Elephas maximus indicus: one gene and its partners. The protein of the gene in region 1 purifies or fractionates together with the protein of each later gene. This does not show direct contact. Links are inferred from orthologs where the notes say so. Each region holds a gene or a part of one and is shown on either strand. Other genes may lie near its edges. The genes, in order: AP2M1, ITSN1, BMP2K and AAK1.

Evidence for each region.
Region 2: the proteins of AP2M1 (region 1) and ITSN1 purify together in Homo sapiens (affinity purification with mass spectrometry; 3 studies listed by BioGRID and IntAct, counting the BioPlex papers as one, with this or other methods). This does not show direct contact. The link is inferred for Elephas maximus indicus from reciprocal best matches to the Homo sapiens genes AP2M1 and ITSN1.
Region 3: the proteins of AP2M1 (region 1) and BMP2K purify together in Homo sapiens (affinity purification with mass spectrometry; 3 studies listed by BioGRID and IntAct, counting the BioPlex papers as one, with this or other methods). This does not show direct contact. The link is inferred for Elephas maximus indicus from reciprocal best matches to the Homo sapiens genes AP2M1 and BMP2K.
Region 4: the proteins of AP2M1 (region 1) and AAK1 purify together in Homo sapiens (affinity purification with mass spectrometry; 5 studies listed by BioGRID and IntAct, counting the BioPlex papers as one, with this or other methods). This does not show direct contact. The link is inferred for Elephas maximus indicus from reciprocal best matches to the Homo sapiens genes AP2M1 and AAK1.

What each region holds. Positions count from the first base shown.
Region 1 is NC_064819.1:30,892,511-30,899,507, reverse strand, and holds the start of AP2M1 (AP-2 complex subunit mu), read left to right. Parts: upstream 1-3,981; 5' UTR 3,982-4,087; intron 4,088-6,000; 5' UTR 6,001-6,041; coding exon 6,042-6,115; intron 6,116-6,997. Other genes in the region: DVL3 (segment polarity protein dishevelled homolog DVL-3), read left to right, coding at 1-127.
Region 2 is NC_064836.1:27,968,558-27,975,828, forward strand, and holds the start of ITSN1 (intersectin-1), read right to left. Parts: upstream 3,010-7,271; 5' UTR 2,775-3,009; intron 1-2,774. UniProt on the Homo sapiens protein: Adapter protein that provides a link between the endocytic membrane traffic and the actin assembly machinery. Acts as a guanine nucleotide exchange factor (GEF) for CDC42, and thereby stimulates actin nucleation mediated by WASL and the ARP2/3 complex.
Region 3 is NC_064823.1:78,278,819-78,286,253, reverse strand, and holds the start of BMP2K (BMP-2-inducible protein kinase), read left to right. Parts: upstream 1-4,426; 5' UTR 4,427-4,519; coding exon 4,520-4,694; intron 4,695-7,435. UniProt on the Homo sapiens protein: May be involved in osteoblast differentiation.
Region 4 is NC_064835.1:66,581,776-66,589,232, forward strand, and holds the start of AAK1 (AP2-associated protein kinase 1), read left to right. Parts: upstream 1-4,449; 5' UTR 4,450-4,773; exon of another isoform or gene 4,774-4,840; intron 4,841-5,114; 5' UTR 5,115-5,341; coding exon 5,342-5,504; intron 5,505-7,457.

The DNA of each region.
Region 1 (6,997 bases):
CATGGGGCCCCCAGGGGCCCCCACAGGCCGCGATCTGGCCTCTGTGCCCCCCGAACTGACCGCCAGCAGACAGTCGTTCCGCATGGCCATGGGAAACCCCAGTGAGTTCTTTGTGGATGTGATGTGAGCAGGGCCCCTCTCCACTTCCACCCCCATCCCGGCCGCCTGTGCCCCTCTCACCCACCGTCCGTCGTTTTTTACTTTGTCTGGTACCTGAAAGGGAAATAAATGGAAGGAAATGACGGCGCGCTAACTGTTCAAGGGACGCACTGAGGGTGGGGTGCACCCACCGATCGGCTTGGTACCCACTAACCTGCCTCTGGCCCCAGCTTGAGCTCTTGGCCCACTGACCGCTGAGCAGGATTTCCGCGATCCTTCGTGCCCTGGGCTGCTGTCTCCAAGTCCCCCAGACTTGCCGGTGCCACCCTTAATCTGGCCCTCACACATACACACTTAGGAACTAACCCTAGCAGCCCTTGGAGGCCTCTCAGCCCCTCGTCCTCTCCCGTCCCCCTCAGTTCCATTTCCCCATTCATTCAGCCCTGTCATCCCTCTGTTGACCTAACCCCTCCAGCACTGTGCAACCTCGACTTTGTCCAGCAGCATCGCTTCCCCTCCCCCCGGACATTCACTGAGCCTGCCCGCCTTAACTGTCCATTGCCTGTGCCTCAGTCCTGCACCCTGGAGCCGGAGCCACTTCCAGTAACCATCCATGCCATCCCTGCCTATGCCCAGCCCTGACCAGAGGCCCAGAGGGCCCCTGAGCTGCCTGCGTGGCACCCACCCGCCCTGTCCCTGCTGTGTCTGGCCTGCGTGCTGGTTCCTTCAGACCCCTAACCCTACTAACTGGCAGGCCTGTCTCACCTCTGGGCCTGAAACATTTCTTTTCTTTCTTTTTCCTCCCCCAATTTTTCCTGGGTCTGGAGCAGCCAAGAATTTCGGGCTGTTTGACTTTCTGTGAGCCCCCTGCAAAGGGAGGCCCAGCCTCCGAGGAGACCAGGAGCCCTGCTTGAAGAGCCCCTCAGGGCTCCCCAAGGATATCCAGCCCCCACACCTATACTTCACTATTGAGTTATTAGGCTTCCTGTGGAGGGCCCCAGCCTCTCACACACAGTCACTCGTGAGAGACTATGCTTGCCTCTCCAGAGATAGTGTTCTCTCTCTCTCTCACACACACACGCACACACACACAACGCACACGCACACACACACACATGTGCCTATGCAAGTTCACTCAGCCTCAGGGCTGGTCCCTGCCCAGAGGGCTGGATCCCTCTCTCCCAGTCCTCTCTCAGGTTGTGGGGCTGGTCCCCTGACTTCCTGCTCCCCTTCCTTGTACTCCTCAAGCCTTCCACAGTTGTCCTCATCATCTTCCTACCTGGATAAAACCCATAAGCTGGTTCTCAGGCTGGGCTCAGCAGAGGCACAGACCATTCTCACACATACCCCTCCCTGTTTTCACATTTGCGGTGACACCCCAGAGCCAGGACACAGGAGCTCACAGGCCAGTTGAGGTTGGGCAGGGGGACTTCTGGGACTTCCAGACAGAGTGCCAGGTTTTTTTTTTTTTTTTTTTTTTTACCTTATTCTTCACTTTAACCAAGTCATGACTGCTATAAATTCTCCTGGCTCACCTAGGCTCACTAAGGCACCCATATTTTCAGGGCTGAGGTATCAAGAGTAAGATGAAGTCCTTGGTTCCAGGCTTTGGGATGAACCAAATGCCAGGCATTTTGGCATTCATTCACTCAGCAAATACTTCCTGGGGCTTTGGTAAGCAGAGTGCTGTGCTGGAAGTGTGACTCAGTCTTGCTCACCCTCTGGGAGCTCTGGGTTCACTCTCAACTCAGTCCATGGCTTCCTGTTGATGCCACTGCGGGGCTGTCTCCTGCACTTCTCTGCCCTCTCTGACTGCCTGTCCAACTCTTGAGAATTCCTCTGCTGTTGCTCATGCCTTCAGTGTCAGTGCCCCCTGCTGTTCTATCTTTGGTCCACTTCTTTTTCCTTTCTATAAGACTCCCCAAATGGCCTCATCCATCATTATGTCTTCAGCTGCCACTGATATGCTGGTGATTCCCAGGTATATATCCCCATCCCCAACTTCTCCCCTCATCTTTAGGTCCATATTTTTATTACCCAATGGACATCTCCACAGACATATCCATGTGGACTCAACATGTCATCTTTCCCGCCAAGTGTGTTCCTCCTGAATTCCAATCCTGGTTACTTTCATCACAATCTACACAGGTTCACAAACTAGAAACGTTTCTGGGTTTTAATTCCTTCCTCCCATGTCTTACCAGTCAGCATATCATATCCATTCCATTCCAACAATCGTTCCTGAATTTGGCCCTTCCGCTCCCGTCTGCCTTTACTTATTTAGTTTGTTGGACCACGGAATTTGGAATCAGGTTGTTCTGGGTTTGAATTCCAGCTCTACTACTTTTTGGTTGTGTGATCTTAGGAGGGCTGTTTAACCTCCCTGAGCCTCAGTTCCCTTGTATGTAAAATGACAATAATAATACCTACCTCACAGGGTTGTTGTGAGGATTTAAATTAGATATTGTACGAAAAGTGCCTGGCACAGTACCTGGCACACAGTAGAGTAGGTGCTCAATAAATGGTGGCTATTATAATTACTGCTATTACTATTATTATTATTTAGTAAAAAATGATAGAAGTTTTGGATACGTGTGAGGAGCCCTGGTTGTGCACCGGTTAAAGCACTTGGCTGCTAACCGAAAGGTGGTTTGAACCCATTAGCCACTCGGAGGAAGATGTGGCAGTCTGCTTCCGTAAAGATTTACAGCCTTAGAAACCCTATGGGGACAGTTCTATTTTGTCCTGTAGAGTTGCTTTCAGTTGGAATCGATGGCAGTGGGTAGGATATGTGTGGAAGATAAAGCTTTTGGAGAGGTAGGAGTGAAGCCTCGAGTACTAGTTCACCTGTACTCAGTCACTTAATGGCTTCAGGTTAGGACCACGGTTTGAGGAGGCCAGACCTTCCTTCTATCACATTCTGTCTTCTGGCAGGAGGAAGCTAAGGACAGTGGGATTTGCAACCGGGTTTGCTCTTTCTTGCCCTTCCTCCCAGGACTGGTGCAGTCCTGCCCAGGGAAGGCAGCAGGGTGTCTCTGCCTAAGATGAGGAAAAGCCAATAGGTTTCCTTCAAGGTCCTGCAAGAGCCAAGCAGGCCTTTCATGTTGGGGGTTGGCTCTGTCTCCTCTCAGCCTAGATGTGAAGCTTAACTATTCATTAGACAAGGGGTTCCAATCCCATGTCTAATTAAAATCAACTCGCCAGACATTTTCTAAGCAAGATATGCAGCCCGTCGCTCGGAGACACACAGCTCTCGGCCTTGAGGAGCGCACGGTCACGTAGCTGAGGTAGAACACACGAACGCTCACGAAAAGCCGTAGCTAATTTCTTGCACATAATTGTCACCTCCCTTCCTACACCCCTGCTTGAGTCTTGATCCCTGGGAAAAGGCTCATGGCTCGAATAAATACATAACGAAAAAAGTTCGTGAGAATCAGAGGTGATGTTAGAAAGCAGTCAAACTCAACACAAACACTTGTACCAAGTTGTGTGTTTATGTGTAAAATAAGGACAGCCAGTCCTCAGACCTTGGAAACATAAAAGACCTACAGCAACCCAAACCTTAACAGATGGTCTTCAACAAAAACGTCACTAATCTCTGAGCCTCTCCAAAACGCTTAAATAGGCACAGGAGGGATTGCAGAAACTACACTTCCCAGAATGCTCAGTGGAGAAAATCAGGTGAGGGGGAGCGGCGTATGCCGGGATGTGTATTCAAAGAGTGGCGTGGAAGATGGGGGCGGTTTCCCGAAGGCTGTCGGTAATTGTAGTTTTGACAAGTCTGAACCGCTTACAATGGTAAGGGAGAAGCCGAGAGGCCTGACGGGATTTGTAGTCTCCGCGGGGCGGAGCTGACGCGCAAGCGCAGCTGAGGCCAGGGCGGGGCCGCGGCACTGCGGTGAAAGCCGAGGCAGCGGGCAGGCGAGCAGGGGGCGGGCGGACATCTTGGGATCCGGGGAGTGGAAGGACCGGGTGCCGCCGACACCAGGTGAGCTCGGGATCTGACCTTACCGGCGGGAGGAGGGCGCCGCGGGCCGTCTGCGCCGTCGCCCGGCTTTGCTCTTCCCCGGCCCGCACTCCGCGGAAAGCTGCCCACACCCGGGAGTGGCCTCAGCCTGCAGGCCCGGGGCGCGGCTGCAGGACGGGCGGGAGCGGTGGCCTCCACCTGACCCGCCTGGCGCCTGCCGGGACAGAGACCGAGCAGAAGCCGGGTAGAGCAGGACACCGCGCGGCGCGCCCCATCCCAGGATCGTGATCACCCCCTGCCCCTCGGTACCTTCTCTCAGCGCAAGGACAATTTCCCGGCTCCTAGGACAGTGACACCCCCTGTGCTGCCTCCTTGGACTGTGACAAGTCTCCCACCCCGCCGCACTCCCTTCTACCTGTTCAGCGACATCCCCAGCTCCTCGTCCTCAGACCTGTGACAGCCCCCGCACCCCGTGGCACCATCTTTTCCGCCGTGGCCCCCTCCCTAGGGCGAAAACACCACCACCCCCTCCATATCTCTGCACCTAAGCCCCAAAGCAAGCTCCAGCTCCCCGCATTGCCATTCACCACTGTCAGTCTCTCCCTGCCGGCCACCCTTCCCACCCCCAAGGCCTTGACCTTTTCCAGTCTCCAAAGTCTTTCTTCCCTGTGCCCCCACCAGCCCTGTTTGCTGCTGTGGGCTGCTGGAGTAGCCTGCCTGGGCTGTTGCTGCCAGCCTTTGCCCCTGACTAAATCTCCCGTTCCTGTCCCAGGCTCCACCTCTGTTTCTTTGTCGCCCGGAGCTACTTACCACTTCATACCCGTGAACTCTACTTCCATTTTGTGTTTCTCTCCCAGCCTCTTTGGGACTGAGGGATGGGATGTGGCCGCCACCCTGAGAAAGCCCTCACTGGTCCAGGAGACCTCCACAGCCGCAGTAAAAGGCTTCATTATGCAGTTTAGAAAAGCCTGCTAAAGTCTCCGCTGTGAAATTAATACCAGGGCTAATCCAGGCAACCTAGAGCCAAATTAACCCTTTTCATCTCTCAGTCCAAATTCATTTGACCCAAATAACTTGGATAATTCAGGCATTTCTGATAGGCCTGCGCCTTGGTTATGGGCACTCAGGCCAGACGTGAGCTAGTTGGTGGGTCTGGAATCACTGAATTTCAGCTGGAAGGATCTCTTCATTTTATCACCCTACCCCGCGCCCCCCCGCCCCGCCCTTATTTTTATTGCAGTCTAGAACTGAGAGGGAGCCTACCTTATTGAAAGTAGTTAGAAATAACTGTAACGAGCAGCTTGTGTCATTGAAGCAAAGTCTGCCAGGTCGGGGGCCTTTCTGGCCTCCTATTTGCCTGCTTATCTGACTGCCTGGGAGAGGCTGGAGCCACACTCCTGGCCCCAAACCAGGGCCAAAGGCCTCCCTTCCTTCCTCCTCTTTCCCCCACCCTGCACACCCTTTCTTGGAACGTTAAGGCTTCTGTGAATTAGAGATCCACGGTTCAGGCCCTGCCAGTGTCTCAGAGGGGTAGTGGAGCCTGAGCCCCAGGCCTGAGCCATCTGGACTAATTCCTGCTGCCATTCCAGCAGCTGCAGGCAGCCGGCCTTGCAGTGACTCACAGGCTGGAGCCTGAGTGATTCTGCACAAGAGGGGGCCGGAAAGGATCCTAGCTGGGCTCAGTGCTGGCAGGAGGGGAGGGGGCTACTCTGGGCCCAGCCCCAGAAGAGGGAGGGTCCAAATTGCCTTAGAATCCTGGGCCGTTCCAGTGTGGGATAAACAGGAACTGGAGGAGGCTGGCTGAGGGGAGGGGCATGCCTGGAAGGGCTGCAGGGTCACTTGCTGATGGGGTTGAGTTGGGGGAAAAAAACCCTTTGCAGGGCTGTGGGCAGGGGTTCTGAGGCCTTCCTGTACCCTGCCTCCCCCTGTCCTAGGTCTGTTCTAAGCAATGGGCTGCGGAGACTGAGCTGCCACCATGATTGGGGGGCTGTTCATCTATAATCACAAGGGGGAGGTGCTCATCTCCCGGGTCTACAGAGATGACATCGGGTGAGTGAGTCCCCTGGCTGAGCCAGCTGTGCCCCTGCCACCTGAGCCCCCCTCCCCAGCATGTGGGACCAGGTCTCTTCCCTCCGGAGGGTTGACTTGGGCCACCGCCTACCCTCACTGCATCCTGGAAGCTCAGCTAGTACAGCCTGGTTCCCCTTGGGTCTGGTGATGGTGGTGGGCCTGGCAGCTAGCTTGCAGGCCGCTGGGTGAGATTTGTAGGGTGGTGTGGCCTCCACAGGCTTCAGGGCTTCTGCCCTGCCTGCCTCCCTGTTTCCCTTAGTGACAGACCTGATTGCTGGAGGCAGTTGCTTTTGCCAAGCAGGTTGGTTCTTCCTTTGAGGAGAGGGATCGGTCTCCAATGGGTGGGGTCAGTGGCCAGGCTGGAGGTACTAATCTGTTCTAAGTTTTGTTCTTAGAAGCCCTTCTCATGTTGGGAGCCTTCCCTGGGCTCTCTTGGAAGCCTCTCCAGGCTGCAGAATCCTCTTCCACCTCCCTTTCTCAAGATAAATCAGGCTGCTGACTCACCTGATTTCAGTTCCTCTGGGCCATTTCTGGAAGAGAGCTTGTGGCAAGCCTGAGGCACTCACTCTAAGGTCTTTGCTGGAAGGAAGGATGGGAAGGCCATGCTGCCCTTTCTGGCTTGTCAGAGCAGACCCAGAACAGCTCCTTGTCCTGGGTCCCTCAGGTCTTAACAGGGATCTACAGCCTTACTCTCCATCTGTTCCACCATGTCCACCACTTTTCTTCCCTGACTGAGGGGACATATTCTCACCTCGGCAGCTCTAATGAGATTAGGCTCCACTTGTTCTTGCTACCCCAGTTGGACCTGTTGCAGTGCTCCATGGCTCCCTGGCTGATGGGCTGGCCTGGCCACGGTGGCTG
Region 2 (7,271 bases), on another chromosome or scaffold:
GGTGTTGACAAAGAATATTGAATATACCATGGACTGCCAAAAGTACGAACAAATCTGTCTTAGAAAAAGTACAACCAGAATACTCCTTAGAAGCAAGGATGGCGAGACTGCGTCTTACATACTTTGGACATGTTGTCAGGAGGGATCAGCTCCTGGAGAAGGACATCACACTTGGCAGAGTACAGGGTCAGCGGAAAAGAGGAAGACCCTCAAAGAGGTGGATTGACACAAGTGGCTGCAACAAGGAGCTCAAGCGTAACAACGATTGTGGGGATGGCTCAGAACTGGGCAGTGTTTCGTTCTGTTGTGCACAGGGTCGCTATGAGTCGGAACTGACTTGATGGCACCTAACAACAACGAAACTAAGTGACAAGGTTAATTTCACAAGATTTTCAAATTTGGTCTCAATGCAATGCAGGTCACTCGTTTACTCAACAAATATTTGATCTCTTTCCTCCAGGCACTATTCTAGGCCCTGAGGACACAGTGGTAAGCCAAAGTCTCAGCCCTTCTGAAACTTGGAGGACAGGTATATTACACAGGTGAAGGTCACGATCAATAGGCTTTCATGAGCAGCCTATGGTAAAACATCCTAGCATTTGAAAATCTTGCTATCCACTTAAAGATGTCGTCATAAAGAACTGCATACAATCCAGGAGACACTCAGTGACAAGGAAGCACAATACCAGTTGTTCTCCAACTTTACCACACAGGAAAGAGCCCTAGAGAACTTGTTGAAAATACCAATGCTGGAGTCCCACGCCCAGGCAATCTAACTCTGAGATGAGCTGACAGAAACAATAACCCTCAGTCATTGTTGATGTCTGTGATCTGAGGTCCAGAATTTGAGAAACCCAACCAGCCAGTGATGGAGCCCTTCAGAAGGGAATGATCACATGCAAAAGGCTCAAGACAGTGCTACGCAGGGGGATTTGAGCTGAGTAAGGTAAACCCAACCCTCGTATAATTCATTCTCTATAATTCACAAATTTAACAAATTAAAAAGATGGCTAAGACTAGAGGAATTTACCATCACTTTCTTCTTAATTTCCTACACGAGTTTTGAGAGTTTGTCTCTACCCAGGCATTTGGGGAAATGGTGAACACATGCAGAGTTCTATACCAATATTAGAGATAAGCATTAAGAAAGAAATTGCCAGCCAACAGAGAATAAATATGCTAAGAGTGAAAAACTTTTCAAGGAACTAGCTTGCTACCAGTCATTTTATGCCCTATTTCACAATGCCGAGTATCTATCTGAACAATCCACGGGGTTCCAAAGTACATTAAAAATGTGTTCATTTCCTCTCTTACTCAGGCAGAATAATAATAGTTTTGCGAAGGTACCACGTGCCTCGGCAATTTCAAGAGATACATTCTTTAGACAAATACCAATTTTTTTTAACCTACTGTCAGAAATGCCCCTTACTGGAATCACTTAAAGGTGGCTGAAATAATTTTAACGCTGAAAGAACTTTAATTTTTTTTTAAAGATGTCTTAGTGATAAGCAAACACTCATCAAAAACAACGCATTTCAAGACCAGCCAAAAAAAAAAAAAACTAAAAATCACAAAAAGTGTCTCTTCTTACACAGTATCTTGTTCTCAGATAACTTTGAGCTGTTTAAGCTTCTGCACTCTCAACCTTAAAATCATCTAAAAATAAAGATACCCAGGCAGACGCATGCAGCACATTTTAGGGGTTAAGAGCGCACCACGCAAACCGGCTGACCTGCCCTCAGACCCCGTCCACTAGGAAATCCGTAACCAGATCTCTCGGCATGTTTCTTCAGAGGTGCCACGGCACTAGTAAAACTGCCTCCCTGCTAACAGAACTGAAAATTTTCCAGATGACATTTGCTTGTTATTGTACTTGTTTTTAGGATCTGTGCTTTTTGCTGCCCTCGATTTTTATTATTTGCATGTTTCGTCCACGAAAATCCTTTAGGGGAGGATGCCAATAGATAATCGCACAAAGAAACGCATCTGGCCAGAAAAGCCTGCATGTATTTAAAATTTCGGATCGGTGCAGCACCGACGATGGCAAACTTCTAAAGGAAACTTCTCATATTTAAGAGGCTATCAAAAACCTCCATTGCCTCCAACCCCAAGGAGAAGCCACTCATCTGTTCTCCAAAAGCAGACGCTTCCTCGGTCCGAATGCCAACACAGAAGACGCCCGCAAGAAACGTCACCTGCGAACCGTCTTCGCGCCCCGGGCAAACGGCAGCCGAGATGCAGCCTCTCCCCGCGGCCCCCTTCCCGGGGCTGCGCGGCGTCTCCTCCCGGCCTGGCGCCCACCCGGAGCGAGGGCTGCGCGGGGAGGCGCGGCGGCCGGGGCTGCGGAGGGGCCGCGCTCGATGCGGCGCCCCTGGGCGGCCCGGCAGTCGGGCTCGGCCGCGCGGCATTGAGCGCCCTTCACCGGCGGATCATGCAGGCAGCCGGCGCCGCCAACGGGAGACGCGCCGTGGGCGCGGGGAGGCGGCGCCGGCGAGGGGCGAGGCTGGGCCGGCCCCCGCGCTCCGGCGGCCGAGGGCGCCCGGGTCAGCCCTGGAAGGACCGCCGGCCGCCGAGGGGGCCTCGCGCTGGAGGCGCCCCGCAAGCCCACGCCGGCCCGGCCGCCGCCCGGGAGGATGGAAGGGCGAGGCGCGCGGCGGCGCTGCAGGGCGGCCCCAGGGACGCGCGCCGGCCCGCGGGAGGGCGCCCCGGGCGGCCATGGCGCCGACCCCGCGACCCCCGCCCAGGCCGCCGCCCTCCGCCCGCCTGCTCCTCACCTCATCTCCAGGCGGATCCGCGCGGCCGCGCCGGGCAATCAGTGCAGCGCACACGCCGCGGGCAGGCGCTGACCAGCCGCAGCACCGCTCACCATCCCCGCCCGCCTCTCCGTCGATCCCGGAGCCCGCTCGGGATTCTCCCTCGCGAGCCGCCGTACTACGGAGCAACCAAGCTGCGCTCCCTCCCCTGGCCCGCCGCTGCTCTCTACCTCCTTCGCTCCCTCCCTCGCTCCCTCGCTCCTTTCTCCCGCCTATCTCCTCACATCCCTCGGCTGCCTCTCCCGCCCCACCCACCCTCCGTCCCCGCCCATAAGCGGGCGGGGACAAACAGCCTGCCAATCAGAAGAACGGGCCTAACCCTCCGCACCGCCCCCTATCGCTAGCTCCGCCCACCGCGGGCCCGAAGGAGGAGGAGCCGAAAGGGTGGAGGAGGACGGAGTGACAGCCGAATAAGCCAATCAACATGCGCGAATGGGGCGGGCGTAGGTCTCTTGCCTCCCCACCCCCACCTCCTCCGCGAAGTCGTAACCGGAGGTTTCTGGTCTGTGATTTCTGTGTCGGGGCTTATGGAGTTTAGATCCACGATTTCAGTGCATCTGTCATTGCCTTTCCAGATACTAGATAGGGTGCGTTCAACTAACTTAGTTACGGAAAGTGGTCAGGAATACGGTGGGACTGAGGAAGGGTGTGGTCTTTAAACATAAATTTGCATAAAACCTCCCCCGTTTATTGGTAGCCCCTAGTGAGGGGCCTGGCTCCGCCCCCGCGCGGGCATGCCGGGAGATGTAGTTCCGAATCCGGTTGCTATGGCGTTCTGCGCAACCTCCGGAGGTCGTGCCCAGCCCTGCAGGAGTGACGAGTTAACAGACCAATAGGAGCAGCAGCGTGGAGCGAAGGGGCGGGCTCTCTGCGGAAGGGCTTGAAGGTGGCGGTGGCTAAGCTGCAGGGCTTTGGGGCCGCCCGGAGACAGGTGAGCCTCGGGAAAGGCGATGTGTGTCTTGGGTGTCAGGGCTTTGGGGGAAAGGTGGAAGGACACCGAGCGGAACCGCCAGCTCTGGGCGGGTGGTGGTTCGCGTCGCATCCCCACCTCAGACGTGCTCACGTCCAGGCCTAGCTTAGCCGAGGCCGCACAGGAGCGGATAAAACTTGGCGGACAGTTTCCTGGCGCGTTAAAATACCAGGAAACCGAACCCATGGCGGTCGAGTGCATTCCAACTCCTAGCGACCCTGCAGGACAGAGCAGAACTGCGCCATAGGGGTTTCCAAGGCTGTAATCTTTACGGAAGCAGACCACCACGTCTTTCTCCCGCCCGGCTGGTGGGGTCGCACCGCCAACCTTTCAGTTAGCAGCGAGCGCTTTAACCACTGCGCCACTGGGGTCCTTACTGGCCCTGTATGGGTTTTTAATTGTAGGTTTTATCTCCGTTTGCATCTCTCTCCCCTTCTACTTATCTCCCAGGTTTCGTCTATCTCCCAGGTTGCATGTATCTCCCTTGCTTTTTCTCCCTAACTCTTCTTTCCCCTGTACCCCTTCTATAATCAATTACCGAAAGGAAGGTGGCTTTAGGGCCAGATTTGCTCTCTTCATCCAGCCAAACAGCCGAATACCCCGGAGCAATGCGGAAGAATCACCTGGGGATTTTGTCAAAGTGCAGAGACCTATTGTCTGGGGACAGGCCTGAGAACCTCCTCCTAGGAGCTGCCAGTCCTGTTATGGGTACCAAGGTGCCTCATCAATTCTATCCAATGCAAATACAATGCGAACCACTTAGGTAACTTTAAATTTCTGGTGTCCACATTTTTAAAAAGTGGGAAGAAAAACGTGAAATTAATATAGTAGTATATTTCATTTGGAAACCCTGGGTGGTGTAGTGGTTAAGTGCTACAGCTGCTAACCAAAAGGTCGGCAGTTCGAATCCTCCACGCGCTTCTTGGAAACTCTGTGGGGCAGTTCTACTCTGTCTTATAGGGTCCCTACGAGTCGGAATCAACTCGACGGCACTGGGTTTGGTTTTGGTTTTTTTATATTTCATTTAACACAGTATAGCCAAAACATATCAATAAGTAATCAATATAAAAGCTGAAGTTTTTTTTTTTTTTTCCTAAATCTTCGAAATTCAGTCTTTTGCACTTAAAGCACATCTTAATTCCGACCAGGCAAGTGCTCAGTAGCCACATGTGTCTAGTGGCTGCTGTGTTGGACCGTCCCTGTAGATCCAGATGATATAATAAGCCACTGCAGAAACTGAAAGGTCAGGTTGCTCATAACCAGACTTTTTGTCTCTTTGTGACACAAGCTGAAGAGCTACCTTAGAGGTTCTCTCCCAATTTACAGAAATAAGTAAATATATTGAATGCTAATTTGGTGCCCATTGCTGTCCAGTTAATTCCAACTCAGCTACCCTATAGGACAGAGTAGAACTGCCCCAAAGGGTTTCCAAGGAGCCGCTGGTGGATATGAACTGCCAGCCTCTTGATTTGCAACCGAACTCTTAACCACTGCGCCACCAGGGCTCTTACAGGTATTATTTAATCCTCACAGCAACTGTGTGAAGTAATTACTACTATTATACCTATTTTATAGGTATGAAAACTAAAGCCCAAAAACTCAACCAAACCGAACCTGTTGCCATCAAGTCCATCCCAACTTATGGCAACCCCACGTGTTACAGAGTAGAACTGCTCTTTTGGGTTTTCATGCCTTCCACAATGCTGCTGGGTGGGTTTAAATTGCCAAACTTTGGGTTAGTTGACAACCATTTGCACCACCCAGGAACCAAATTAAGGCTCCCTCGCCCCCCCCAAAAAAAAACCAAACAGATTGTTGTCCAGTCAATTCTGATTCATGGTGACCAGAAAGGTTAAAAGTGGCCCAGAGTCATACAGCTAGTAAGTAAGGGGGCTAGGATTCACTTAGGCCAGTTGTGACATATAAATCCTGTCTACAACCACTGCAGAGTATTCTTACTAGCTTCACTTTGCTGATGCTCCTGCTCCAGATTATGGGAGGGGATGAGATGTTCACATTTGAAATGGAGAGGGCTCCCCACAAAATCAGGCTACCTCTCACTGAAGTGGTTTGATAGATTTACAACTCTCTGTACTGTGATTTTAAAATGAAAATTCTGGATTGAAGAAAAGAGTTGAGAACCTCAAGGAAGCACTTAGGCCTCTAGACCAGGGCTGTACCCTGGTCAGTAATGAGTCTTGATTCATTTTTGTCCTTCCTCAAAGAAGGAAGGTGGGTGAACTTGAAAATTCTTAAAATACTTCACTATGGAATCACAGTGTTTTTTGTTTTTGGTGAACTCTCTTTTTTCTAATTGATAAACATGAAGGTTTTCTTGCCCCTAAACGGTGAACTTTACATAGAATGTTTCAAAGACAACATTAGAAAAGCTGTCTTTGCTTTTCTTAAAAAAAACCCAGTGCTGTCGATGCTTTTCTTAGCTCCAAAGAATTAAGGGGAGTTTTTAAGTAGACGAGCAGGAATACACATATCCACACATGATAAGATATGGTATTTTACAAAATAATTTTCTTCCATTTTTGTACATTATAAATATGATACATTTTATGAAAATTATCTTTTCTTGATTCTGAACATACTGGTAAATATTTAATCACATTACAATTCATATTTTATACTGAAGCAAACAATGGATTCTTCAAGATGCCTGTTGCTGTTAGCTGCACGGCCACCCCATGAGTGTCAGAGTAGAACTGTGCTCCACAGGGCTTTCTTTGGCTGATTTTTGGAATTAAATTGCCAGACCTTTTTTCCTAGTCCATCTGAGTCTAGGAGCTCCACTGAAACGTGTTCAGCATCATAACAACATGAAAGCCTCTGCTGACAGATGGGTGGTAGCTCCACAATAGGTGCGTTGGCCCAGAATCAAGGCAGGTCTCCCCCATTAAAGGGAAGAAGTCTACCACTGAACCAGCAATGTCTCCAAGATACTATAGTGAATTCGAAAATTAAATAAGCATTTACAAACTGCAATAATAGTAAACCAAAAAACCAAACCCGTTGCCATCGACTCATTTCTGACTCATAGTGACGCCATAGGACAGAGTAGAACTGCCCCATAGAGTTCCCAAGGAGCGCCTGGTAGATTCGAACTGCTAACCTTTTGGTTAGCAAGCATAGCTCTTAACCACTATGCCACCAGGGTTTCCGCAATAATAGTAGGTAGAGAAAAAATCAATTGCCATTGAATCACTTTTGAATCATGGTAACCCCATGTGTGTCAGAGTAGAACTGCTCCATAGGGTTTTTAATAGCTGATTTTGGAAGTAGATCACCAGGCCTTTCTTACTAGGTGCCTCTGGGTGGACTCAGACCGTCAGCCTTTCAGTTAGCAGCTGAGCAGGTTAACCATTTGCACCACCCAGGGACTCCAGTAGGTGGAGAAGACTGCCGTGGTTAAGTCGAATGGAAAGGAGGGAGAGGAGTGTGGTAGAAAGTAACAAAAATTCCTCAATCGTTTATCTCCC
Region 3 (7,435 bases), on another chromosome or scaffold:
AATGGGACTGTGCTCTTACTCTAGGACAATACTTCTTTAAGCAGGGATTTATCCTTGCCATGAGGTGTGAAGCCATGGAGCTGTTCCAGGTGGCAGATGCTCCTCCATTCACCAAAGCATGTTTCTTGGTAGCAAAGTTGCCTACCCCTTGAAGTCTTTTTTAAAAGCATGGTCAAGGTGTAGGAAAAAGTCTACCATAGAAAAGTATTTCAAGTCAAATGAGACATTTTTTCTATTAAGAATATTCGTGAGCAGCTTAGCATTTTTTATACTATCAGACTGAATATTCATAGAACTATATAAATTTTTACAAGGTATAGTGATGATGTTCAGTAGTTTTAACAGAGGATTTAAGTATCAGAGATGCTAAAAAAATCATTCGTTCTCATCATGAAGACATGTATATATCCTTTTAAAAGACTTTAGAACTTTTATTTTTTTGGAAAGCAAACATATGGACATTTAATTAGTTATAATGCCAGGGAGGGAGAATTACTCCTGTTAGGCTAACCATGATAGAGGACATGTCATCAAAGGAAATTGCTGACTAGTAAGGAAAAATAATCAAGATCTAAAGAAATGACTTATAAAGGTAATCGTGGCACTGGAATAAGCCTTTTGGGATAAGTGTATTTTGCTTGATCTGTAATGCAAAATAGATGGGTCAAAGTAACAAGAAGAGTTATAGTTTTCCACTAGAAGACAAAAATATAACATTAGTTTTTTCTCCATTGTCAAAATCCTTCCTGCTTAAGGGATCTCAGAATCCTTTAGTTAGTTACAATCATCTCTTGGCTTTGACAGAAGTGTAACATGAAACCTTGCAAAGTGAAGCAATCTTTTTTTTTTTTAAGTATTATGTTGTTAGTTCCCAACTATTTTTAGAGCAGTATATAAACATTTGGTTCAGATATTAATAAGAAATTGAAATGTGATTTTATCTGTACTAAACTTTCCTATACCTGTGTTTTTACAATAAACAATAAACCCATTGCCGTTGAGTCGATTCTGGCTAATAGCCACCCTATTGGACAGCGTAGTACTTCCCCATAGGGTTTTCAAGGAGCAGCTGGTAGATCCGAACTGCCGATCTTTTTGCTGGCAGATGTAGCTCACCGTAGCTCTTAACCACTGTGCCACCATAAGTCACTCAAAAAGATGTCAAATTGGATGTTCTTCCATAGCCATGGTCAAATAATGAGTGCAACACTAAAAGACTTTGTTTACCAGTTCCAACTCATAGTAAGTCTATGCGACAGAGTACCACTGCCCCATAGGGCTTCTTAGGTTGTAATCTTCACAGGAGATCACCAGGTCTTTTCTCCCATGGAGCCACTGGTGGGTTCAAACCACTGACCTTTCAGTTAGCAGGCAGGCAAATGCCTACCCATTGCACCACTAGGGCTCCTTACTTAAAGACTAGAATTCTCAATACAGTTTTTCTACTCATTGAAAGCCTGCCCTTAGTATCTCAATTTCCGTTTACAAATTGGGTTAAGGATACTCGTTTTTAACTTGCAAGCTTGTTAAGAGGATACAAAAAAATAAACAAACCCATTGTTGTTGTAACAGCTAAGATTTTCTTAGCTATAATCTTTGCAGAAGCAGATCACCAGGCCTTTCTTCTGTGGTGCTGCTGGGTAGGTTCCAACTACCAACCTTTAGGTGAGTAGCCCAGCACAAAACTGTGTGCACCACTCAGGACCTCTTGTTAGGAGGATATAATGTGAAAATATCAATGTCCTTTGGTATTAAAGTTGTTTGTAAATGGTAATACATTCTTAGTATTGGTAATACAAGTTTTGGCATTCTTATTAGTAATATGTTATTGGCTGTCATAGAAAATTGTGGAGTTAACATTCTGCGACGATCAGAGGATATTCAGATTTTATTACATGCATGGTAAAAAATTAAAGAACACATTTCTTGGTGTTACTCATAGTTTTTGAGACAAGGTCTATGCCTTAAACTAATTATAAACTTCAATATCAGAAGTTAGGTTACATTGACTCATAGAAGTAATTTTTTTGGCCATAGCAATTGTGATAAATTTACTCCTAAACTGATCACATACGACTTCATTTATTCCTGTGTTATGCTTAGGTAAAGTTGAATTAGGCCCAAACTTTGTATGTTAGATTGATTGCAGTTTCAAATTCCATGAAACGATCAGATTTCTCCACTTTAATACCTGAAAAACGTAATTCAAATGTTGAAGGTATGAGACATCACAGTGAATCCCCATAGTAAGGAAAATGGTCAGTTTATTTCTAAACGGAAATCCCCAACTGTCACACCACATCAGTCATCCAACATATAATCAGACTTCCATAGGGCTGGAGTATATACTTTAAAGGTCAGGTAGCTGGATGAGGAAACTTAGCTTGGTGATTATGCAGCAGAAATGCCAAACCCCAGTACTGTTTCAGTGTTGGGAGAAAAACTTCAAACTGCAGAGAAGAGTGAAGGACTTTAAGCTCAAAGTCTCTTTGGCCTAAGCACATTTTCTAATGTTTCTGTCTGTATCCTATTAAAAATTTGGAGAAAGAATTGAGGGGAGGGAGAACAGAACGACATTCATCTACTTTCACAGAAGGTATGTACTGGAGTTCTGTAGGCATGATTTATTTGGCCAACATGTTCAAAAATTGGGGAAATGCCACACTAAAAAAAGAAAAAAAAAAATTCAGGTTTCTGATTTAAGAAATTGGAACCTCTGGCCACGGTGGGCAGGTAATCATAAACGGATAAGTAGGTTGGAGTTGAGGAATGTCTGGTCTCTACACATGCTCTACAATTTGCTAGTCCTTACTTTTTTTTTTTTACTACTCCTGGTCAGGACCAGATGACTCAACAAGCAACGTATGCAGGGGCCCAACGGTGCCTTCCCACCAATCTACAGTGCACAATTTCACCTGTTCCCCACCACAGATCTGGTGAAACCCATGTAAAATTGCTCACCCCAGATTAGCAAGTACTGCAATTAAGCCCGTTTGGACCTTGCTCAATGCAAGTGAGTGCATACCGTGTTTACTCTTTAACCCGCCAATGTTCTTCCTATTCATATTGCCTGTTTTACTTCTCCCCATCCCCCTCCCCGCATTGAGACTGCAGAATTTATGCAGTTTAGGAAATTGTAATGAGCAAATCTCTGTTAAACGGGGGACAACTTCAATGGCTGTTTTTGCTTCCAAACAGTCCTAAATCTGCCCGTTTTCCAAGCCTCTCAACGATCCGACCCTAACCTACTTTTTCAGTATGACCAAAAGCAAAGAATTAAGAACCAAAGGACGGACGTTGTAGTCTCAGCTCTACCATAAGAGCCAGCTGTGTGACCTTGGGCGAGTCGTTAAGCTCTCTTAGCCAAAGGTGATGGTTTGTAAAACGAACTTAATACCTGCTCTGAATACTTCACACAGTAGTTGCAGAACACACATGAGATTTTAAGTACTCCTAAAATAATCCACCAGGTTTTTTTTTTTTTTAAAGTAATCTGAAATCGCAAAACTCTTGTCAGTACAAGCTTCTGCTACACACTGCGATGACACCGTGGCTTTAGAAGTCGGGTTACTGGAATCCGCTTTAGTTTCGTGCTGCTCCCACCTCCCACGCTCAGGGTGGGCGAGCGGGGGAAGAGCCTCAGGGGACAAAGTCTAGAAAACTGGCTAGAAGTGAAGCGAGAAAAGTTCCTTGGAGGAGATTAAGTTGTTGGCGGCATTTTTAAGCCCCAGAGTGACATACAGATTCCCATCCGAGATGACAGACCCCGAAGCGTGGCCAGCGCTGCAGCCGGCCCCACGGGGCTGACCCGAACCTTCTTGGCTGGGACCTGGACCCCGCACCCCGCACCTCGCCCTTGTCCCCAACCCCCACAGTCACCTCCCCCGCTCCCTTCCACGTGACAACAGCCGGAACCGTCACTTCCGGCGGCGCGGGCAGTGCGCCTGCGCGGGGGCCCGGCCTCGGTGAGCGGTTGGCACCAGCGCCGCGCCGCCAACGGCCGCGAGTGGCGGGCGGCGCGGGTCGAGTTCGGGCGGCGGCGGCGCGGCGGGCTACGACCCTGAGGGCCTGCGGCCGAGAGGTCCAGCCCATTCCCTGGAGGGGCCGCCCGCCCCGCCCCCTTCTCCGTGCCCCTCCCTCCTGCCCTCCTCCCGGCCTCTCGCTCCCGGCGCCTCGCTCCCGGCGCTTAGGGGACAGCGAGGGCACCCGGGGCACTTGCCGAGGCGGTGTCGCCCCCGCGTTCGGACCCGCCCCCTCGCGCCCCGCCCCGTCCCCGCCCTCCGCCGCCCTCTGCGGGAGCCCGGCAGCTGCAGCGGAGCCGCGGAGCGGACAGCGGGGCCGGGGCTGTGCGCTCGGGGCGCGCGGAATGTGAGGCTCGGCGGGCCGCACCGCGCACGAACGCTCAGAACGGCGAGGAGCGGCGACCCCTCGCGGACGTTGGGCCGCGCGCCGGGTCGGGGACTTGCCCTCTTGCTCGCCCTTGAGCGCGCCCCGCGCCCTACTGCGCACCGGCGGGACCATGAAGAAGTTCTCTCGGATGCCCAAGTCCGAGGGCTGCGGCGGCGGCGCCGGAGCGGCGGGTGCCGCGGCCGGCGGGGTCGGGGTCGGCTCCAGCTCTGGCGGCTCGTCCGTGGGGGTCCGTGTGTTCGCAGTCGGGCGCTACCAGGTCACCCTGGAGGAGTCACTGGCCGAAGGTACGGGCACCCGGGGAGGCTCGGGCAGGCAGGTGAGGGAGGGCTGGGGTGTGGTGGTGGTTTCATCTGGTCCTGGTTCTCGTCTCTCTTCGTCCCATGGGTTCACTCTTTCTCCCCTTTCTGCCTCCTCTGCTGGGCTAGCGGAGTCTCTTAAGACGCTCGGGCTTTCGTTCTTAAGCCAGCTTTTCTCGCCGCTGGTAGCTCTGATCAGTTCACAGTTCTCTCATTACGAGTTTAAATCATTTTCTGTCCTCGACGCGAGGAAAATAAATAGAAAACGTCCTACAAGTGCTGTGGTGTCATGATTGGACCAGTGACTCATTAGTGGGTCAGACTGAGCAGGATTGAGGCTCTGTTCTGCCAGCTGTGGCTCAGGCGAGTGTCATGCGTTGGCTTTTTCATCCCACTCTCCACCCGCACCTCAGGGCATAGGACCCTGAAGCCCCTGGTGTGGAGTCTGGGTTTGCTTCTGCTCAGTCATCAGCTGAAAAGCAGCGTTTGTTTGTGTGTGTGTGTGTGTGTGTGTGTGTGTGTGTGTGTGTGTGTATTGTGGAGGCGATATTTTGCCCCAAATCCAATTAGTGATTTGCTTTTGGGGAACAGGTAAATTTGAAGATTATTAATCCTTTTTATTCAGAATCTTCTCTATGAGACAAGGTACTGTTTGTGCCTTCTCAAATATGTCTCTTTGGTAGTAAAAAGGTGACTTGAAAGGAGGTTAGCTTTCACTTGCCAAGTTGAAGTTTTGTAGTCAGTCTTTCATTATCTGTGACAGCAGGCACAAGTCTGCTTACAAAAAAGTTTATTTAAAAGAAAAGATTTACACTTTAGTTTTGTATTTTTTGTATAATTGGCTTGTAGAAAATACAGTTAACTGCATGCTACATTGACCTTTGAGTTTTTTTTATTGCAAAATGACAATACAAATAAGTACTTTTAAAACATCCTGAGAAATAATTTCTGTTCTTAAGTGGTCCTTCTAAGTCCCAAGGTTAAGAGGAAAGCAATTGAAGACAGTAGTTTTGGTTCTCTGGGGTTTACACGTTTATGTGGTTTGAAAATGCTATATTGAGATTTCCACTTGTATTTTATGAAATGTCATAAAATAGGAAATTAGTAAAAGAGAAAAACCTGAAGATTTTTGTCTATATTCTCAAGAGAAAGAAATCTTGGATTATTCAGGGATGGATGCCATTGTTTTGCAAGCTGTTGCCTGGAACAGGTAAGAGTGTTGGAGAGGTGGGAGAAGGAGGATCCTTAGTTTCTCCAAAAGAGTGAATATATGGTGATTGTTGTCGATGTTTAGATTTACTGTGCTCTGTATTTCATTCATGAATTTTAGGTGATGGTTTAGATTAGGTTGTAGATTTTAAGAAGATATTGCTACTAATGAAAATGCTGTACTTCTGTCTTTGGATTGTTTTAGTAATCATTGAAGTGTAGCTTTGAGTAGTGTTACTCATTTCACTAAATCCGAGGTGTATCTTTTATTTAATAGGAAACATCGACATTACATCAAACTGACTTTGAATTTGTAGCTTGTATAACTGACCCGAACATATCCTAGCACTACTCTAAGCAAGTCATTTTCAATAAGAAAGAAAGCAAGTCATTTTCAGTTAGAAAGGAGTAATTTTAGAAAAGGAAAACAAAACTGAAGTATTTTAAATGGAGAGTCCTCACTAAATCACAAAAAATACCTTTTCGAACACTAACATCACCGTTAGTGTTCCATTGACTTTTGCCATAAATTTGTAATTTCTTTTAGAAAAAAAAATCAGTAATCAAATGCTAACTATAGATGATGACAGGAAATAAAACATGTTTTTGAGAAACAATAGATAGAAGAACAAGAGGACAGAATTAAGACGAGAGGAAGCAAAGGTTGAAGAAAACCTTTTGGAAGAACTCCACACTCCCCAACCCAGTTCCTAGGACTAGGCTTTCAGCCTTCTCTGGAGGGGAACTGACAACTAGGCTTTCTTCCCTTGAACCATTCTTCTCTGTCTAGCACACACAATTGAAATTATCCGTATTCAGTTTACTTTTTGATCCTGACAGGTTTCTTCTGATTTGAGATGCTTAATATCCTCTTTCCCTCTCAAGTAAATAATGCCACAATTTAGAACAAGATGCTTAAGCGCAAGTCTGGTTCACATTCAAGCATGATCACTCAATAACTGACAGATACATCTGCCTGATTATAAGACTCGGGCAAGTGCTTGTGAAATGGGATTAGACTTTAAAGTATCTGTACTGGGGAGAGGGATACCAGTGAGTGGGAAAAAGGGTGGCAGCTAAGACAGACCAAGAAACAAACTTGGTAGATTTTACATTTTTTGCTTTGGGTCAGTGTTGTTTAAACAGGTCTAGAACGGTAGAAGCTGTGTGCTTTTTTTTACTGCAAACATAGGCAGCTTGCTGAGTGTCTTGATAAACCAGTCCGTCTCTGTCCCACCACTATATACCAAACCAAACCTGTTGCCCTCGAGTTGATTCAGACTCATAGCAACCGACAGGACAGAGTAGAACTGCCCCATAGGGTTTCCAAGGAACGGCTGGTGGATTCGAACTGTCAGCCTTTTGGTTAGCAGCCAAGCTCTTAACCAGCGTGCAGCCAGGCCTCCTACCTCTCTCTATATGCATGTGTGTATGCGCTTGCGCACACACACATACTTATTTGTGTATGTATACATATATAATGTTTTTTAAATAAAAATTGCAGGAGTACACTTCTGTTG
Region 4 (7,457 bases), on another chromosome or scaffold:
TATCCTATTTATGGAAACATAGAGTTAGAAAAACAAAATCAAAGCAGTACACGTAAGAATGTTCATTCCAATCATATGTATAACAGTACAAATTTTTAATAAAATGATAAAATATTCAACAGTAAAGAATTGGTTGATTACTAAGCAGCCATTAAAAATAGTATTTTTAGAGAATATGTAATGAAATGGAAAACTATTAAATGAAAAAGTTATAAAATATTATGTAACAAGTTTACAATGTGATCCAATATGCCCAAAAAATTTTGCGTTTATATATATATTTTTTTTATAGAGAGAAAATGCTAAAAGGAAACTGATCAAAATGTCAATAGCAGATATCTCTCAGCAATAGAATTACAGTTGATTGTTATTTTCATCTTTATTATTTCTTCAATAAGCTACAATGAGTTTTCTTCAATTACTTTTCTAATCAGAAAACACAAAACCAAGAAATGCTCTTTTTTTTTTTTTTAAGAAGGGAAATGGCTGTTATAATTTCCTCTGGGCAAAACATCGTTTCTGAAACTTGGACGTGTATCAGAACCCCTTAGATAGCTTGCGAAAACAGATTAATGCCTCAGCCCCTCCCTCCTATTCAGTAGGTCTGGGTGGGGCCTGAGAAATTTGCATTTCTAACCAGTTCCTTTGGGTTAAAAGATGGGAACATAGAATGGCACCATGGTGCAGTGAAAATGATGAGGGTTGGTAGCCTATCAGTTTGATTGTGGCTCTGCCCTTTGCAGGCTGTGTCTAGGCATAGTTAACATACTTCCTCTTAGCCTGTTTCCACACTAATGCATACCTCACAGGTGTGTTGTAAAGGTTAAAGATATTATATAAACATCCAATACAATGCCTACCTTAATTAATTAAGGTCCTTGGTCAATGTTGGTCCCTTTCCCTTTGAGTTCCCTTAAAGATGCAGCACACATTTGCTATAATTGGGTTTACTGTGACATGATTTAGCTGCCCCACAGGTCAAATCATTTCCACCAAACCTACCAAACCATGCATGTCCTTCTGTTACTAAGAAAATCTTCACTTAGTCATTGATAAAATTGGGATAATATTATAATAGGATCTACTTTCATATAATGATAATGGTATCTACCCTGCAGAGATGCCACGAGGATTAAACAAGAAGATATGCTAACTGCTTAATACAGTAACTGGCATATGGAAGATCATAGTAAATGTCAGCTTCCTTTTGCTTTCTCTTTAAATGAGTACTTCTCTATACTATCTCCTAGGTCTAATTAAAAAGCTCATCTAGTAGTCAATGCCAACTCATGGTGACTCCGTGCATGTAAGAGTTGAACTTGCTCCATGGAGTTTTCAATGGCTGGTTTTTTGGAAGTAGATCAACAGACCTTTCTTCCAAGGTGCCTCTGGGTGGACTCCAAACTCCATCCTTTTGGTTAGCAGCCGAGCATGTTAATGTTTCACACCACCCAGGGATTCCTCATCTAGTCTAAATCAAAAAACAGGAAAGAAAGAAACCAAACTATTGCCATCGGGTTGATTCCAACTCATAGCAATTCTATAAATCAATCTTTCTACCTCAATCAGATTGCTCTCTTAGGGGTCATATTTAATTTGGAGTCATTTATTTGGTTTATTTAAGTACTGAGAAGGACGCAGTAGATATAAACTACTGTACTGGATGTTCAAAGAGATAAGCAGAAGACTGTTCCCTGCCTTTGAAGTACCTGGTTGAGGTGACAATATACATGAAAAGTTGAATAGGAATGCAAAGTAGGATGGAATGAATTATACAGAAAGTAAGTATGGCAAGAGTTTTGAGGTCATAGTGGGCTGTCCTGTGGTTATTTTGCCCTCAGAAGCCACAGAATTACTGAGAGTTGAAAGAGAGCTCTGTTTTTATGGCTGAGAAAATAGGCCCAGAGATCTAAGTGGTAGAGGGTCACAACTACTAGCGGAGGTTTACTGTCTCCTAGATGGAAACCCTGGTGACATAGTGGTTAAGTGCTAGGGCTGCTAAATAAAAGGTTGGCAATTTGAATCCACCAGATGCTCCTTGGAAACCTGTGGGGCGATTCTGCTCTGTCCTATAGGGTCGCTCTAAGTCAGAATTGACTTGACAGCAATGGTGAGTCTCATGATGCTTGTAGACATATTTCTAATTATTACCAAATCTGTTCATCATTTTATGTTTGCTTTCTCTAAGGCAGTTTAGTGCAGCCAGTTAAGCACTGGGCTCTGTAACCAAAATATTTGGGTTTTGAATCCTGCCTTTGCCACTTACTATCTATGTGACTTTGGGCAAGTCATTTATCTCTGTGCCTCAGTTTCCCCATCTATGAAAAAACCTGCTGCCATTGAGTCGATTCCGTCTATAGAATGGGTATTATAATAATAGTATCTTACTTCGTAGGGCTGTACTGAGAATTCACTAACTTAATATATGCAGAGCACTTAAAAACTGTGGGTTTGCCATTAAAATTGCTATTAGTTGCTGAGAGAATGGAAGGCAAGGAGTCTAACAACAACAAAAAACTCATTGCCGTGGAGCTGATTCTGACTCAAAGTGGCCCTGTAGGACAGAGTAGAATTGCCCCTTAGGGTTTCCAAGGAGCAGCTGGTGGATTCAAACTGCCGACCTTTGGGTAGGCAGCCGAGCTCTTTAACCACTTTGCCACTGTCTTCTAATTTTTTTTTTTCTTTTTTCCCCATCTCCCTTAGATTATCATCAAGGCACTCAGGTTCAGTAAATACATTTAGCTATCTCAACCAATCCCAGTGAAGAAAACAAATTTTTGTATCTCAGTAGTGAGAATTTGGGATTTGTGTAAACCTAGCCTAATCTGGAACAGTCAAGTCTAGAAAAGTGAAAACTGAGATAGCAACAGGTTCGAGGACCCAAGACAGTTTCTTTCTCTCTCTTTCAGTCAATTAAGATCAACATGTGCTGAGAAAAACAGGCGGCAATGAATCAAATTCCAAATGAGCTTTCCCATGTGTTTTAATCTAGTCCAACTTCCTTATAAACAACGCCTCACCTTTTAAGAAAGTGCATGCCTCAGTGGGTTTGCCTTGACGGGACGTTTTAGTGGGTTCTGCATTTCACTCTGTAGCTGGCCTCATGGGTTTGTGAACATGGGCGACAACATTGATTCCCTCGGGAAGAAAAGAAGCAGTCTCTACACCGGAAGTGTAATTGTAGTGGCACAATTTGAAACTTAAAAAGGAGAAGAAGTCGCCGCCACGGCCCCGCTATTCGAGCCACAGTTCAGCTCAAAATTACAGAAAGCAAGAACCATTTCCTTCTCGCTGGACACTCCTCTCAACTCTCCTGAAATGACTGCTGAAAAAAATTCTGAGGCGAATTAAAAGCCAGAAGGTTGTCGCAGAATTAGGGAACGGGAAGAGCGAGCAGGTGGAGGTGAAAAATACCCTATATTCAGGCGTTAGAAAAAGCTTTTTTTTGGGGGGGGGCAGGGATTTGTCACTGTCTCTGGCGTCATTTATCAGGAGATCTAGCGATGGAGAAGAGTACCAACAGGCCTTCCAAATCTTCTGCGTTTGGCAGAAGCAAATCACATTGTCCACCCCCATCCTCTGCACTCAGGCGATATCAGGGTAAAATAAGCATCAAGAGGAATCTTGACGTGAGAAAGAATTAAAAGGTCAGCCTGGAGTTCTTGTGTGGGAGGGTTATCAGTGAAAGTCAGGACCACCCAGAACGTCAGCAAAGGTAGAAGAATTAAGGGTCACCGTTGGCACGCGAGCCCCAAAGTTTGGGGCGGAGCCGACGGGCTGGGTCTCCCTAGGGTCTGCCTTGCACACAACCTTTAGCAGATTCACAGTGGGAGTCTCGCCAGTAAGGTCCCGGACGAGACACTGTCTTACGAGCGTTCTGACAGCGTCTCGCTCAGAGCCGACCCACGAGCGGGTTCTCAGTAACATCTGGGAGGGGCAAAAACAGCTTTGGAGATGGGGGGCGGAGAGGCGCCGGTTTTATTGATTTTAACGTTCGCATTCCCGTGTGGCCTGAGGACCGACTGTCAGCAAAATTTTCCCGGTCGCCCTCTCTCTTCCACCTTCTGCCCAAGTGAAGTCGAAAAGCCCCGCAGGACGTGCAAGGGGGTAAGCGGTTAAAGCAGCCGCGTCCTTCAGATGTCAGCCTCGATCCTTTGGGAAACCACAATCCCCAGAATCCCTTGTGCCAAGAGGTCAAGCCGCAAATAAGATGGCTCCAGAAGGGTGGAAAAAGCAGCAGGAGAGAAACTCTAGTACCAGGCAGTGGGTTTACCGGATGGGTTTAAATAACCGAATCCCCACAAATGCACCACCCAACTAACCACCTTCGGCGCCGCGGAGGCCACGGCTGCCTTCTCCTCCCAGCTCCTCCAGAGGCATCCTGGGAGTTGTAGTCCCGCAGCTGGGCTGCGCCGAACTACCTTTCCCAGGGTGCCCTGCAAGTCGGGAGATAGCAATGTTGTTTTCCAAAACTGTCCGCACCGAGATCGCCTTTCCCCTGTCTCCTTCTTCCCTCAGGCCACCGCTTCTCGTCTGTCGCGATAGAGCAGCGGTGGCTAGGGGACGCCCTGGCGCCCCCGTCGTGCCGGGCCGGGAGGCACTTCCGGCACGACTCACTTCCTGGCTGGCTGGATGGAGCCGGGCGGGAGCGCGCGCGGGGGAGGGGCGGAGGGTTAGTCTCCTCCGGGCGCTCCCGGGATCAGCTGGCGGGCGGGCGGGCGCCGAACTCGGCCCGGGCTCTGGCTGCAGCGCCGCCTCCTCTCCGCGTCGCAGGTCGGCCCGGCGGCCGTGACAATGTTGCGGGGCTGGTAGCTGGGCGCCGGCCGCCGAGCCGTCTCAAGTGGGTGCCTCCGGGATGCTGCCGCGCGGGGCGGCGGGGAGGACCGGGAGGAGGGGGAAGCAGTGCCCGGCTGGCTTGGTGCTGCTGCCCACGGCGGCCCGAACGCCCCCTTTCTTCCAGCCCCGGGGACGCATTTTCAACCCTAGAGGTTTTTCTCGCCAAGAAAATGCATGAAGCGTTCCCCCAGGTTGATGGCTTTTGCCTCGCCAGGACTGAGCAGTTGAATTTTTAAGTGTGTTATTGATTCATCCTCTTTCTTCCTCTGTCATCACAGGTTTAAACTTACACGAATCGCTCTCCCGAGGAGGAGGGGACCCGCCGCGCGATTGACACGCATATTCCTATAGGCATCCTTCCTCAGCCCCCACCCCCACGGCCGGATTCGGGTGGCTCCTCTCGGAGCTGAAATCTGAGAAGAAATCCTTGGGTTTCTTGTTATCTTAAAAAAAAAAAAAATCTAGAAACCATCCGTGTTTTGCTTTGCTGCTTTCTTTTTGCAAGATGAAGAAGTTTTTCGACTCCCGGCGTGAGCAGGGCGGCTCTGGCCTGGGCTCCGGCTCCAGCGGAGGAGGGGGCAGCACTTCGGGCCTGGGCAGTGGCTACATCGGAAGGGTCTTTGGCATCGGGCGACAGCAGGTCACTGTGGACGAGGTGTTGGCGGAAGGTACGGTTGGGACTCTTTCAGTGCTTGGTAAATTAAAATCGTGTGCCGATGCGGCAGGACTCTGGTTGTCTGGATGTTGATTGTATGAATGGGTTTTGACCACTTGACCTCCCCTCCCCCTTCCCTTGCCCTGTGGTTCATTGTCCTTGAGAGATTTAAAACTGAGATTTGAAAGTGACAGGGCTTATGGGGATGGAGGAAGGTTGCCAGAAATGGTTTACCTCAGTGACCTTTTATTAAAACAAAACAAAACCAGAAAACAATGTTGAGAAGCCACCCCTGTCTGCCTCACCGAGTTATGAGGATCAGAGGAGAAAACGTATGTGTGAGAGTACAACGCTTCACATCAAATGCAGGGGAGTGGGCTTGTCATCCTCCTAAAACTTGAAATATTGATGTGAAGACTGAAGGGTGGGGATGGGGAACCTTCAAGAAGAGAGAGGAATTTGTTTCTCCTCCTAACCAACTTTCCTACTTCCATGAGCAGGCAGTGGAAGAAAGAGGATTTTCAGAGAATGGGAATGTGACTTGCCAAGAGCCGAGGCTCTTGGTGGATTTGTCTAGGTTTGTTTCCTGACTCAACTGTAATTAGGTCCCGAGAATGTAGCTAAGATAGCAAAAATCCTGTGAAATGAATGTGGTTATTCTCAATTCTGTCTAGTAGGGCCCTCTTCCTCCTATTTCATTTATTTATTTTTAACCAAAAGAAGAATTACTTAAAGCTAAAACTGGGTGGCTCTGGTTTTGTTTTTCCTTGGTTGGAGAGGATGTTATTTAGATCTGCTGTGTAAATTCCCTAGGTGTGTATGGCTATAAATATATAGATCTATATCTTTATCCCCCAGGCTTTAGGGAAATCTTCATATGTCTCTTTTGATAACCTTAACCTCGACCTTCATAATTATGCCAGACTCATACTTTTCTCAGCCCATTGCCTGCTTAGTGTGCTTTTATTTTTAATAAAAGCAGCAATTTCCTTGGCATAAAGCTATTCAAACTACCTGCTGTAGGTTGTTGTAGACTGAGAAGGGATGGGGGAAGGGGTGGCCTTTATTACTGCAATATGGATGAGAAACAGTTGATTAGCAGGGGAGGAGGGGAGAAAGCTTAGGAACCTTTTGCAAGCTAAGGTTGAAGCCAGCGTCCCGACCTGGGCCTGGGAAGTGCCTGTCATGGTGAGTGTTGCAGGCAGATAGATTGGGAGGAGGAAGAAGCTCTTTGGCTCTTAGCGTGTGTAAGCACTGGATTCAGCAGGGCCGGGTTCTCTGGGGGTAGGGGCGAAACCTGTACTTTAAAAACACTGTTTTAAAAAAGATATCTGACAACCGTGATTTTGTGAAATTGCTGCTCTTTTCCATTCTCAGTACTGCTGTAGCTGGACTTAATCCGGGGCCTGAGTCACTGTGTCTCTGGATCCTTCCTGTGGGCTTTGGTGCAGGATGGGAGATGCTTCTGTGCCTGCTGCCAGATCTGCACCCTTGAGTCTGATGTGTGTCTTTTTATCCCTGTGCCAAAGCCCTTGACTGCAGTGGGATGGAGAAATGGAGGAATGTGTATGTGCAGGAGAAATCGGGAAGCATGAGAGGGTGCAGCACCCTTTCCTCCTTCCTGAATGGTCTCTGCCGACCTCAGTCCAGGAGCATTTTGTTCTTCTAGGATGTTGTCTCATTATAGATGGTGCTTCCCTAAACAATGCCAGTTCTCAGTGATGGGGAAAAGAACAGGCAAAATTGGTCTTTGTTATCTAGGCTACCCTCCTCTTCCCCACGATTCATCTTTGAGAATTGCTACATCACACATTATGATATTTTTATGTGGAAGCTAGGGCCTATAAGCTCTGCATTCATTCATTTATTTATTCATTCAACAAATAGTTACAGAGTGCCTGTGATGTGCCAGGCACTGTGCTAGGCTTTGGGGATATGTTATTAAACTAGATACTGGAGTCTACAA